Linked DNA regions of Canis lupus familiaris. The protein of the gene in region 1 purifies or fractionates together with the protein of each later gene. This does not show direct contact. Links are inferred from orthologs where the notes say so. Each region holds a gene or a part of one and is shown on either strand. Other genes may lie near its edges. The genes, in order: RETREG3 and REEP4.

Region 1 (6,367 bases):
AGGGGGAGCTGTGAAAGGAGGGTGTTGAGGGATTCCCCCCATCTTGCTGTGGCATTGGCAGCCAATGCTTCTAGGTTTCAACTGGAGCTTGGGAGTGGCTAGTTCTAGGTGCTTTGGAGGTGAAGTGGGACTTTTTTCTTGTCTCACCAGGTTGAAACTTGAATTTAGGGACTAGGAGGGCACATTTGTTCTGACAACTCCACCCTATGAGCAAGCAGTCCAATCCACGTGTATAAACCTGCCACTAGCTCCAAGGCACTTTGTGCTTAGAAACATCTTCCCTGCACTCGGACCATTGCAATTCACTGTGATTGCAATTCAGGGATAAAAGTAAAACACAATCTGACACTGCTGCTGCTGAGGGGGAGGCAATGGTAGATGTGTCCCTCAGAAAATAAATATAGCAAAAGTAAAATAAACCATAGCAGAGGAAATTCCTTGGATCAAACATATGGGATGAATGAACTGAGAAATGAAAGCAAGAGCTGTAAGACACAAGAGGAATCTTTGGCTTGCTGATGCCAGGAACCAATGTGTTTTCTGACCAGAAACTTTTTAAAAAGCTAGAGGTCACAGAAAACACTAAATGATCTGGAATAAAAGTCAGGAAACAAATGAAATAAGCTGCCTCTAAGTTTTTACAGTAGAGCTAAAAAATGCAGCTAACTCCTTGGCATATCAGGTTACAGGGCACTATAATGCTCCTTTTCAGAAACTTTTCTTGTTAATAGCAGAGGACACTAGCAATCTCAACTTGCTACCTGAACTTTAGGATTTGTTAAGATGATTATTCGGAACAGACTAGGTTCTCAGCTCATACTCTGTATCCATAACATGGAGTTAACAACATGTAACCAGAATATTACAACAAGAGAATCAATCAGAGCAACAAAAAGGGATTTAATTAGTGTTCCATACCTCTCATTGTCTAATGCGTCGGGTCTTGGCACTACAATATTAAAACAAACACCAGCATTAGTTGGTAGGGCAAACTAAACATAAAAATGTTAGGCTGTTGGTCTGACAGCTCGAGTTTTAATAGGTTTGGGGAAAAGAAAATAGTAATAGCCAATAAAAAGGAGACACCAGGTTATACTGACAGAGTTAGGGGAGTGCAGACATGGGGAGGATGGCTGATGCCTGCTCATTTCTCTGGTGGGCGGGTGAGGGGATCCAAATGGAACATCAGGGTCCCTTCTACTTACTACAACTGAGAGCCAAGGTGCACAAGAAAAATGATCCACCCTACCCCTCAAGGGTGTCTTGGCTGCTCACATACATCAATGTGCACCAGGTTACTGAGGCATGTTAGAACTACTCCAAATCCAGAAATCTGCCTTTTCTCTTTAAAAAGAGATGCATTAACTACAATGAATGATGTCATCTTTTGACATTCACCAGCCATAAGACAGGTGATGAACTACATGATTCCTTAAAGTCTTTGCAAAATAGGATGGGAATGTATTTAAAAGCTATATACTCTCATGTAAATATCCTGCCAACACTTCAATGGCGTTTATCCCTTATTCTTCTAATTCCCTACTTATCAGTCTTAATGTATCTTTCTTCTTCCCAGCTCTCCAAGCCACCCATTGTTTGTTTCCATGAATACCTCTCTATTTCTCACACAGATACAGTCATAGTTTCCTATCAAGTCTCCCTCTTTCCCTTTTCTTTCCATGTGATCCTGTAAAATGCTATCAATCTTCTGTATCACCTCACAATATAACTCTAAAAAAGAAATGCTCAATGATCATTCACTACCTATAGGATTAAGCCTAAACTTCTAGGCCTAACTTGAAGGCCTTGTAAAATCTAATCCCAACATATTATCAGTTTTATTTCCTTTTAATGACCTCTTCATTCTGGTGAAAGTGACTAATTCCTTGTTCTCAGGAGATGCTTTGCTGCTTCTGGTTTCTCAGACTAATCGAACTACTGGTGCCACTAGAAACACCACTTCTCTCTTCACTTGTTCAAGTCACTTGCTTCATTCAAGGCCTGAACCAGGGCCAAAATACATGACAAACATACCAATTACATACTACACAGTGACATCTCTGGTACTGTTCTGTAGCTATCATTTCACTGGTCTTTTGTTTGTGCCTATATAATCTTTGAGAAAAGGAAACGTATCTTACTTTATATGAATCACAATGCTTAGCTTAGTGTTTTTTGCAAATAAGCAATTTAAAAGAAATTCCTGAGAGGCAAATTGATACTGCCTCAGTAAAGATGCAGTATCCAATGATGTAGATATGTCTATCTATTTTTTTTAACTTGAAGACTATTTATTCCTCTGGCCAATTATAAGGGCAAGAATATCTCAGGTGGTGGATACAGATTTCTTGAGCTTAGTAACAATGGGAAAGGTGGAATGCAGCTGTAAGGAACTACCGATGGAGCACCAGCCCTTCAAGTGTCTCCTAAAACAAGTAATTCACACATCAAAAGATATTCCCAGTTCTATACACTCCCTCATAAACCCCCAAAACTAAAGGTAAAAATTAAAGGAAAGACCATTTCCAGTTCAGACTGTTCTAAATGCTATCAAACTCACCTTTTATTTCAGGCCAGATTTTGTTCTTCCATTGGTCTATACATACAATGATCATAGAGCTGAATGCAAGTAAAAACACAAGACGAAGGGATGTCAGTGCAAAGAACCTACAGAGAAGAAAAAACAGAAGATTATTATTCAATTAAGCTAATTTCGGAAAGGACCATCTGTATACTTCAGGCTTTAGTAAACATACTTAAGTCCTAGTTACGTACCTTAAGAAAATCACTTAAACTTTCTGAACATTAGGGGATCCCCGGGTGGCTCAGCGGTTTAGCGCCTGCCTTCAGCCCAGGGCGTCATCCTGGAGACCAGGGATTGAGTCCCACATCGAGCTCCCAGCATGGAGCCTGCTTCTCCCTCTACCTGTGTCTCTGCCTCTCTCTCTCTCTGTGTCTCTCATGAATAAATAAATAAAATCTTAAAAAAAAAAAAAAAAGCTTTCTGAACCTCAGCTATTGTATTTATGGGGAAGAGATAATTTGCTTCTGTAAAGGCAGAGGACTAAATCAAATAACTTCTTAAAGTCTTTCAAGTCTGCAATTCTATTAATTTCAGGGAGAAATTCATCCCTGATAACTTATTATAATGAAAACAAACACCCTTCTACCAAATTAGACCCCACTGTAGGGCAACAAACTGATAAGAGATGTGTTACAAAGCATGTAATTCAATTAGGTATCTTTTTACAGATGGAGGAACTCAGGTCTAAAACAGTAAAATGATTTGATTAAGGTCAACAGAAAGTTAGCACTGAAGCAACATTCTAAATTAAATTAATTAGAATTTAATTAATTCTAGTTAATTAGAATTTAATTAATTCTAGTTAATTAGAATTTAATTAATTCTAGTTAATTAGAATTAATAGCGGCCCAGTGGTTTAGCGCCTGCCTTCAGCCCAGGGCGTGATCCTGGAGTCCCAGGATCGAGTCCCACACGTTGGTCTCCCTGCGTGGAGCCTGCTTCTCTCTGCCTGTGTCTCTTCCTCTCTCTCTCTCTCTCTCTCTCTCTCTCTCTCTCTCTGTCTCTCATGAATAAATAAATAAAATCTTTTTTAAAAAATAAATAAATAATAAAAGCCAGTTCTTAAGAATTAACACCAATACTTCTTAAACATTTCCAAAAAATTGAAGAGGGAACATTTCTGATTGATTTTATGAGGCCAGCATTACTCTGATATCAAAGCCAGACAAAGACAATACAAGAAAACTAAAGCCCTATATCTCCCTCTCCCTGTCGCTCCCCCTGCTTGTGCTCTTCTGCACTCTCTCTCCCGTCAAATGAATAAGTAAAAATGTAATAAATAAAATAAATCTTTCACAAAATGTGGGGGGAAAAAGATAATCAAAAAACAAGTTCTATGAGTCTTTGTACTACACCAGCCTTTCAGTATCTTTAGGACAGTGCTGGCCCACAAGCTAATTCTGTCAGTCTGTGAGGAAGCCAAGTAGAAAATTTAGAGTAAACATTTAAAAAAAAAATTATAGCAATTTGACCAAGTAATCTTGAATCACAGAACATATTTGGGTTTATATTTTCTGTCTTTTAAACTTAATTTTTCAGGCACCCCGGGTGGCTCAGCGGTTCAGCGCCGCCTTCAGCCTGGGGCGTGATCCTGGAGTCCCGGGATCGAGTCCCACATCAGGCTCCTTGCATGGAGCCTGCTTCTCCCTCGCCTGTGTCTCTGCCTCTCTGTCTCTCGTGAATAAATAAATAAAATCTTAAATAAATAAATAAACTTAATTTTTCTAGTAACTTAATTTAGTAACTTTCTAGTAACTTAATTTTTCTAGTAACTCATTTATATTGCATTTTACAAAAGTATTGATTTGCAACAGATCAGGGACACCACTGGCCCTGACCATAGATGGTTCAGCAGGGACTGTAGTAGGCATAGCTTTTCAAGTCAGACTGGCTTGAGTCTGATTCTCTGAACACTCACTTAGTCATATGACTTTGAATAAATTAGCTTAACCTCTTTAAAGACTGTTTCTTCGTTTTGTTTTGTTTTTTTAAGATTTTATATTTATTCCTGAGAGACACAGAAAGAGGGGCAGAGACACAGGCAGAGGTAAAAGCAGGCTCCCCGCAGAGAGCCTGATGTGGGACTCCCATCTCAGGACCCCGGGACCAGGCCCTGAGCCAAAGGCAGACACTCAATTGCCAAGCCACCTAGGCGTTCGTGTTCCAGTTTCTTTGTATGTAGTGGTAACAATGACAGAATTTGGAGGATTGTTTGTAGGTTTTAGAAACAACATACTTAATTCCCTGTAAAAATATCATACTTGGGGCGCCTGGGTGGTTCAGTCCATTAAGTATCTGCCTTTCGCTCAGGTTGTGACCCCAGGGTTCTGGGATCAGCCCCACATTGGGCTTCCTGCTCAGCAGGGAGCCTTCTTCTCCCTCTCCCCGCTGCTCATGCTCTCTCATTATCTCTCTCTCTCATAAATAAGTAAATACATAAATAAATAAAAATTTTAATAGTCATACTTCATCTTGCTTAAAAAGACAAGAAAATATAAGCCTAAGACGTAGTTCTATTCAATTTTACAATGTAGAAGTGTTACTAGCTATTATCACAGCAAATGGATCAAACAAGGGTAAGGTTGGTTTGGTTACAAATGACCTCTTGCTTTCTCAGCTCACCACACTACCTAATGACTTGACATAACCACAGAACAATAGAGTATAATCTTTATATGTAAATGGAAAAAAAAAGCTTTATCTATGTGTACATATGAATACATCTACATATTCATGGATTGGCAGAGGAACTTTTTATTTCTAGATATTTTTGTACTGGTTTTCAATAAACATGAGTCCAGGGGGGGACCCCTGGGTGGCTCAGCGGTTTGGCGCCTGCCTTTGGCTCAGGGCATGATCCTGGGGTCCCGGGATCGAGTCCCACGTCGGGCTCCTGGCATGGAGCCTGCTTCTCTCTCCTCCTGTGTCTCTGCGCCTCTCTCTCTCTCTCTCATAAGTAAATAAATAATCTTAAAAAAATTGTTTAAAAAAAAACATGAGTCCATGTTATGTAATTTTAAAAACTACACAAAGAGTGAAGTTCCAGTCACCAGTGATAACCCTATTCCAATTCCCCTCCACCACCATTTAAAGGACACTGTAATTATACATGAGATTAAAGAATGAAAGCAGCTTAACAAAAATAAGCCTCTAGAGCTGCCTAGTCATTAACCTTTTCTCCAAGGCCAACTCATCAACCCAACTAACAAGCAAATTTAACAAGGCCAAGGATAAGGGCTCTAGAGCTTTTTGCTCCTCAGTGCCGCTACTTCTCATTCCTGGCAGCAGGAGGATGTGGCAGGGCCACCGTTTTCTCCAGAGTGCTTGAAAGGGCTCCCTGCGGAGGCAATCCAGACTGTCTGCAATCTCTACTTCCCAGATCATAATTACTAACAAATATAAAGTGGGGTAGGGAGAGGATATTAAGCCCTTCTAAGAAAGGCTGATCTTCCAAAAATGATGGCGGTAAAAATACTTTATCCAAGACCTGAACTATTCTAGTAGTCTGTTATAGTTCCCACCTATGTTTCAACCCAATCCAACAAACATTTATTGAGTGCTCATTTTATGTAGAGGCTTTGAGGTATGCAGCCCAGTTATAGCAGTTACAGAAAAGAGAAAGACATGGACCTTACTTTCAAGTGTATTTATGTGTCTATCTGTGTTTGCAATATAACATGACAAGCTAACGATAACAAAGAAGAGGACATCTAAACTGGAATTTAAGAGATAAGTAAGAATGGGGTGCCTGGCTGGCTCAGTCACTGGAGTATGCAACTCTTG
Region 2 (6,851 bases), on another chromosome or scaffold:
CCTGGACGAACCTCACAATGGTGAATCTCACAGGTGCCATGTCTGGGGTTCCACCTCTTGAAACCATATCCATATGCTCTTGGCTTAGCAGGTGCCCCACAGGTCCCCCAGCCACACTATCCTGGGAATTCCTGCTCTGCTTTCTCAAATGGGGAATGGCCCTTCACGCTGTGCCAGGGAGAAGTTGCCAGGGGAAGTGGGTTGAGCCTCCCAGACACATTGGCACTCTGTTGCCCGGTAGAAAGATAAACATCATTCTGACTGTCACTCCCCCTAGGACTCTTTCCAGGGGTGGGAGACACTCCTCCTCTTGAATGCCACGGGGAATGAGGCCTGCTGTATGCCTGCCTGGTCACCTGCCCTGGGGGTCATCTGTGTGTCCAGAGAGTTGCTTAGCAATCCAGTGTAGCTGGGTAACTATGTCAACATCTCATGACCAAAGGCCATGAGAGACAGAGTCCACTCACTCTGCAGAGCTGAGGATGACACCCCTCAGCTCCCAGCCGCACACCCCTCCATGCTGGGCCCTGCTCCCAGGAGCACACCTCTGATGTCCATTAGATTTCCTAGTGCCGTTATGAGGACCAGGAGTCTCTATGTGAGAGACTTTCCCCTCCAGGGTGGTCTTTTGGGGAGAGAGGTCTTAAAGTGGGCACAAGAGAGCTCTTCACCAGCAAGTGAGGGTAGATGCTGAGGTCAGGTCAGGTGACTCTGGAAGGCAGCCAGGGAGGACGTGGTTCTGCAGCAGGGACCAAAGGGAGCACATGCACACAGCCCAGGCACCCTTATCTCCAGAGGAACGGGTGCTCTTCCCTCTACCGCAGCCCCCAGCTCCTCCTGAGCTGGCCCCCTATGGAGTTACCACATCCTTTTTTCTGGGCACAGATTTTCATAACGTCTGTGGCTAGAGATGGAGGGTGGGACTCTGGCTCTTGGAGTTTCTTGTTCTTCCAACATAGGGTAGGAGCGAGGCCCAGGGTGAGGGGGTGGTTAGATGGGAAAGAGGGAGGCCTCAGGGAAGTTTCTCCTGTGGGTCAGTTTCACTGCTAGCTCTCACACCCCACATCACCAATAAAATGGATGATAGTAATTAAGACTACATAATTACCTTGTGTTTATTTATTCCCAGGAAGCCTCCTTTCCCTGGCCCCCATCATTATTTATTCCATCCTCTCAATAGGTGATGGGAATTAACTATGGCTCTAATAAAAAGTAATAACTGTTCAAGTTTCCCATCCCCATGGTTCTAGGTAACTCTGCTGCCAGCCCTGTGAAGCAGGGGGGAGGCTGCGCAGGGTGAAGGGCACAGTCCCCATTGTCAGCCAGAGGAATGGGGCACTGTGCAGAAGAGATACAAAGCATGCAATCCTACACACAAAGTTCTGGAAGCAACCAAGCCTGCCTTCTCCTTTGAGCCTCCCACTTTCTTCCCCATATACACCTGCCCCTGGAGGAGCTTCTCCGTTCCCTCTGGCCTTCCAGGGCTGTGTTCAGAAGACTGATCATTCTGTCTTCATTCACCCATCATCCAGCAACAAATGCCACTAGATGATGTTACTTTTCATCAATGGTGAAAAAAAAAGGGGGGGGGGAGAGGGTGCAATCTTTGTAAAGGTCAAGACCTTGCACACAAAAATTAGCTACTAAGTGGCAATTGTTGATATGATTCAGCTCTCGGGGACATTTGTGTTCTGTCCTCACAGAAATAGGTGGAATTTCAAAGGTCTGGTGAAGAAGGCATGGGTGGGGGGGTGGGGGCTGGGGGCTCTCTGTCCAGAATGTCTCGTGGTCAGTCCGCCCAGGTATGTGCCTCTGGAGAGGTATCCCTGAGAGAAGTCAACTCCTGAAGCCCACTCTTCGGGGTGAGTCTCAAAGGGATGATGAGCCACGCATGTGACGACAGCTCCCCTCTCCCACTTCCTCCCGCTTTCTTTCTGGGTCATCTCAGCGTCACGGAGGCGCTTATGCATCTCGTGCCCCGGAGCTGCGGGACCTGGATCTGCCGGCGCTCGGCCAAGCCTCCCTCCCCTTGTGCGTGAGCCTGGAAGCGGGATCCTGCGCCCGGCCCAGGACTTTTTCCCATTTTACAGAAGGGAAAGATGAGGCAAAAGGGGGAAGCCAGGGAAGAGCCGCGAAAATTGTGGAGTCCAAGTTTCCTCCTCTGCATCTTTTTTGTTGCGGTTTCCCATCCCTTGATCTTGCCAATGCGGGCGGGCTCCTGGACCCGCGGGCCCCCGCGCACGGCGGGGAGGCGGGTCGCCCTTTAAGGGGCGGGCCCCCGGCGTCCTCGCCCCCGCCCCGCCCCCCCGGGGCCGCACTGCGCCTGCGCCCGGCGCCGGAGCCCAGGGGTTGGGCAGCGCGCAGTTCCGTGCAACTTTCAAGTGAGTTGCAAACTCCGCCCCGAGGCCGGTGCCGGTGGCCGGGCGCCGCGAGACCGCGGGGACCGGGGCGAGCGGAGGCCGGACCCGCCCAGCGGCGCGGCGGGAGCCCGACGCCTGGTTCCTGCAGCGGCATCCGCCCAGGAGCGCGGCGGCGAGGGAGGACGCGCCCGCCCCGGGCTCCCGAGTCGGTGCCCCCGAGCCCGGCCTCCGAGCCTCGGCACCGGGCGCCCCACTCCTCCGGCTCCGCGCACCGCAGACTCAGGGGCGGCCCGAGCGCCCCTCTGGTTCCCGCGCTTCCGCCGAGCCCCCGTCCCAGCCCCGCCCGAGCGTCCCTCTGCTCCTCTTCTTGGGGGATCCCCTCCCCCTTCGTCCCCGAGGCTGCAGGATGGTGTCCTGGATGATCTGTCGCCTGGTGGTGTGAGTACGGGTGCCTTCCTACACCTTCTATCCCCAGGAGCCACAGCGCTCCTGATCTGGAACAGGGGGACATCTGATGGCAAAGGGGCCTCCTGTGGGGCTCCCTCAACACTCACCGTGAGGGTTAACGGACCTGCGGGCCTGCACGTGCCATGGGGTACCCTGGCTTGCCCTCCAGCCCTCAAGCCTCCTTGGTCCGTGGCCACCCCTCCCGCAGTCACACACACCGCAGACAGGTGTGTGGGGCCGAGGACTTCAGGCCGACCTGCAGTCCCTTAGCAAACACAAGATGTGGCACGTCGTGGGCGGATGTTCCAGGTGCCTGCTTCCCTTCTGAGCAGTCACCTGACTCACCATCCTGGCCTCAGCCTCCCCATTCTGGCCTCTTCTCACCTTTTAGTACTCCATCTGGCTCCAGTATTCCTATCTGCAACCTGGCAGTGCCAGGTCTGGTGGCCGTGGACCTGATGGCATGTCCACAGGAGCAGACAGCCTGGTGCTCTCACCAGCTCAGCAGCCTGCCTCCCACCCACCTGTGTGCGGCTGTGTGTGTTCCGCTCGATCATGCACCCATAGGCCACTGATGCAGGCCCGGGCAGGCTTGGGGTGTTTGTAAACAGCAGGGTGGGGAGGTGGCCTCCAGGGCACTGACTCAGGCACACATTGTGCAAGCCAAGCGGGAAGAACAGGTAGGCCCTTGCCACTTCACATCTGTGAGGGAGGTGGCCACCTGGTGGGGCGAGGAGGACAGGATGCTGCTCATATTCCCCCTCTGTTTTATGGGCTGCCCTTCTAGGCTGGTGTTTGGGATGCTATACCCAGCTTATGCTTCCTACAAGGCTGTGAAGACCAAGAACATTCGTGAATATGTGAGTGTGGCTGTGGGCAGGAGGGCTTCATTCAGGTCTGGGGGGACTTGGCAAAGTGGGGAGGGTCTGAACTGGCATCCCCTGCCTCCAGGGGCATAAGCAGGTGGCATATCCTAAGCAGAGTGGGTGTGGTTGGAAGGCAGGCGATTGGGGAGCCCATGCAGAATCGTGTGGGTGAAGCTTCTTGGGGGTGGGTACAGAAATGAGTGGCAGTTTCTCAGAGGCAACTCTAGGGCCAACCAGTTGCCAGGAGAATGCAGCAGGACAGGCTCTCTGGAATCTCTGGGTCAGCCTAGGACAGGGGAGTTGGCTCTGCAGGCTCAGCTGTTGGCCTCTGACACCCCCACCCACACCCCCAGGTCCGATGGATGATGTACTGGATAGTCTTTGCACTATTCATGGCGGTGGAGACCTTCACAGACATCTTTATTTCCTGGTATGCATGCAGGGGGCCTATGGGCTGTGGGGAGGTGCTGGCCCACTCAGCCGGGCTCCCTGCTGACCTTGCCCACCCTGTCCTCTGACAGGTTCCCTTTCTACTATGAGATCAAGATGGCCTTTGTGCTGTGGCTGCTCTCACCTTACACCAAAGGGGCCAGCCTGCTTTACCGAAAGTTTGTCCACCCGTCCTTGTCCCGTCATGAGAAGGTACTTCGGGGGGAGTCAGGGAGTGAAACATAGGGGTGGGTGTGAACGAAAGGACCCTGGACTCGGGGTTCAGGATACTGGATGATATCTGGGTTCTAATCTGAGTCCTGTTGCCCTTAGCTGTGGGACCTTGATAGAAAGTAGCCTTTTTCCTCTTTTGCGATAATCAAATGGGAGCACATGTGAATGTGCAGAGCTGGCAGTTGTTTTGGGGACAGTGGGAGAAGGCTGAGCATGGTCATCCCCTGAGGTGGGGGAATGGGTGGGTGGGGAGCCCTGCCCTTGGTGTGGTTGCCAGCGCCCTGTAGGTGGGGGTGGACAGGGAGGCACAGGACGCAGTGGCTTCTCTGGGTCTGCAGAGGAAGGATGACTCCCACTGTGCACCTGAACTCTTCCCCCTTCCCCGCCCTCCACAGGAGATTGACACCTGCATCGTGCAGGCCAAGGAGCGCAGTTATGAGACGATGCTCAGCTTTGGGAAGCGGGGCCTCAACATTGCTGCTTCGGCCGCTGTACAGGCTGCCACCAAGGTGACCTGGGCCCCAGCCCTCCAGCAGCCCTCCCACCCCCAGTGCCTTCTGGGGGAGTCCAGCTCTCTGTCAGGGAGCTGGGAGACAGCACCAAACCATGCCAGGGGACAGGGTAGGAGGTGATGGGTGGGGTGTTGGCCGGAGGATGGAGCTGGGCCAGTGACCGCGAGCGGTAAATCCTGCTCTCTGGGCCTTCATTTCCTGTTGGCAGCACAAAGACATGGACCTAGAAGGTTACTAAGTTGCTTTCAGTTCCGAGGCCAGGGCCCCAGTGATGACCTGCCAGTCAGTGCTTAATTTCCCTGCACAGCTGCCCTGGTTCAGACCTGGGAATAGAGGATGCTGCTAGGATCCCCTGCTCCATCCCTCCAGGTGATGCATCGGCTCCCCCTCTCTTGCAGAGTCAGGGGGCACTGGCCGGAAGGCTACGAAGCTTCTCCATGCAGGACCTGCGCTCTATTCCTGATGCCCCTGCCCCTGCCTACCAGGATCCCCTCTACCTGGAGGACCAAGTACCTCTTCGCAGGCGACCCATCGGTGAGTAGGAGAGAGATCTGGAGCTGTTTGTTCCAAGAGGGATGCTCCTTCCATTTGAGCTGTGGCTTCCCTGGGGATTAGAAGAAGGCGTGGCTGGGCCCCAGGCCTTCAGACTGTGGAAATGCCCAGCTTTGGCTCCCTGGCCTCTCTCTCCTCTATTCAGGGTACCGGGCAGGGGGGCTGCAGGACAGCGACACCGAAGATGAATGCTGGTCGGATACAGAGGCAGTCCCCCAGCCACCTGCCCGGCCCCGAGAGAAGCCTCTCAACCGCAGCCAGAGCCTGCGTGTGGTCAAGAGGAAGCCGCCCGTGCGGGAGGTCAGTGGCCAGGAAGGCGTGAGGGAGGCGGGCTGTCCAGGGACTTTGGCCTACACCTCCTCCCGTTGTATCTGCTCTCTCCCCTCAGGGTACCTCGCGCTCCCTGAAGGTTCGGACAAGGAAAAAGACCATTTCTTCAGACATGAATGGCTAGGATCTGCAGAGCCTGGCCGAGTCTTACGTCTTGCCTTATGGGGTACCAGGGACTGCTTGGAGGGGGCGACTGGGTGCACATCTGACCTGCCTACACCAGCTGCTCAGGCTGTGTCCTCCTGGCTCCTGCTCTCGGTTAGGGGCTGGGGCGGTGCACAGGGATATACCTGTGATGAACCAAAGCAGGCTGGGCCCATGATTCTATTTATTGCCTTTCTCATCCTTATACCCTCTTGGGTGTGTGGGACCAGAGCCCTTCCCAGACCTCTGCAAGTGAAGCCAAAAGTCCACCCAGCTGTGTTCATTCCTTCCTGTCCTTCAAAGTACTTGACAGCCTCCTCTAAGGCCCCGTGTGTGTATATGTGTGTGTGTGTGCGCGCGCACGTGCGCGTGTTCCCTGGTTGTGTTTTGTGTTGGTGAATGAGGTCAGGTTTATGCACATTTTGGTAAATAAACATATAAAAGTGTTCTGTTTGTCCTGGTTTTATATTCCTGGTCCTCACAGTACACAATGCTAAACAGCCTGCTACAGGCCAGACCAGGCCTAGGATGGGGGTTAAAAGGACAGACCTTTTGGGACCAGTCTCCTGGTGGGGGCATGTAGCCATTAACATATAGTTGTGATGTGGCAAGTACTGTCACAGGAAGCTCTTGGAGACTTCTGAGAACACAGATGGGAGACTAGGGGTGGTGGTAGGGAGGACACCCTGGAGAGGGGTCAGAGTCTGAGACTATAAGCAGAGGAGATGGCATTGGACCTTGATGGGAAGCAGAAGGTAGTGGGAACAGAGGCGTGGAGGGAACTCTGGGCAGCACAGTAGTTTCATGGGGATTAACTGGAGCTGTAAACAGTTAGGCCTGGGGAGACCAACTGCCCCCGTGGGCCCTCAGGGGTCTCTAGGAGGCAGCTCTAGGGGCATTGAGTTCCTGTAAACATCCCAGATGGCCTTGGGAGCATTGCATGTCTTCGGAATGGCCGCGAGAGGGCAGCAGCTGCC

What was found.
Region 2: the proteins of RETREG3 (region 1) and REEP4 purify together in Homo sapiens (affinity purification with mass spectrometry; 3 studies listed by BioGRID and IntAct, with this or other methods). This does not show direct contact. The link is inferred for Canis lupus familiaris from reciprocal best matches to the Homo sapiens genes RETREG3 and REEP4.

The regions. Positions count from the first base shown.
Region 1 is NC_049230.1:20,246,818-20,253,184, reverse strand, and holds part of RETREG3 (reticulophagy regulator 3), read right to left. Parts: intron 2,668-6,367; coding exon 2,561-2,667; intron 950-2,560; coding exon 919-949; intron 1-918. UniProt on the Homo sapiens protein: Endoplasmic reticulum (ER)-anchored autophagy regulator which exists in an inactive state under basal conditions but is activated following cellular stress.
Region 2 is NC_049246.1:35,273,675-35,280,525, forward strand, and holds REEP4 (receptor expression-enhancing protein 4), read left to right. Parts: upstream 1-2,409; 5' UTR 2,410-2,766; coding exon 2,767-2,798; intron 2,799-3,594; coding exon 3,595-3,667; intron 3,668-4,026; coding exon 4,027-4,103; intron 4,104-4,194; coding exon 4,195-4,315; intron 4,316-4,731; coding exon 4,732-4,845; intron 4,846-5,246; coding exon 5,247-5,382; intron 5,383-5,545; coding exon 5,546-5,700; intron 5,701-5,788; coding exon 5,789-5,854; 3' UTR 5,855-6,321; downstream 6,322-6,851. UniProt on the Homo sapiens protein: Microtubule-binding protein required to ensure proper cell division and nuclear envelope reassembly by sequestering the endoplasmic reticulum away from chromosomes during mitosis.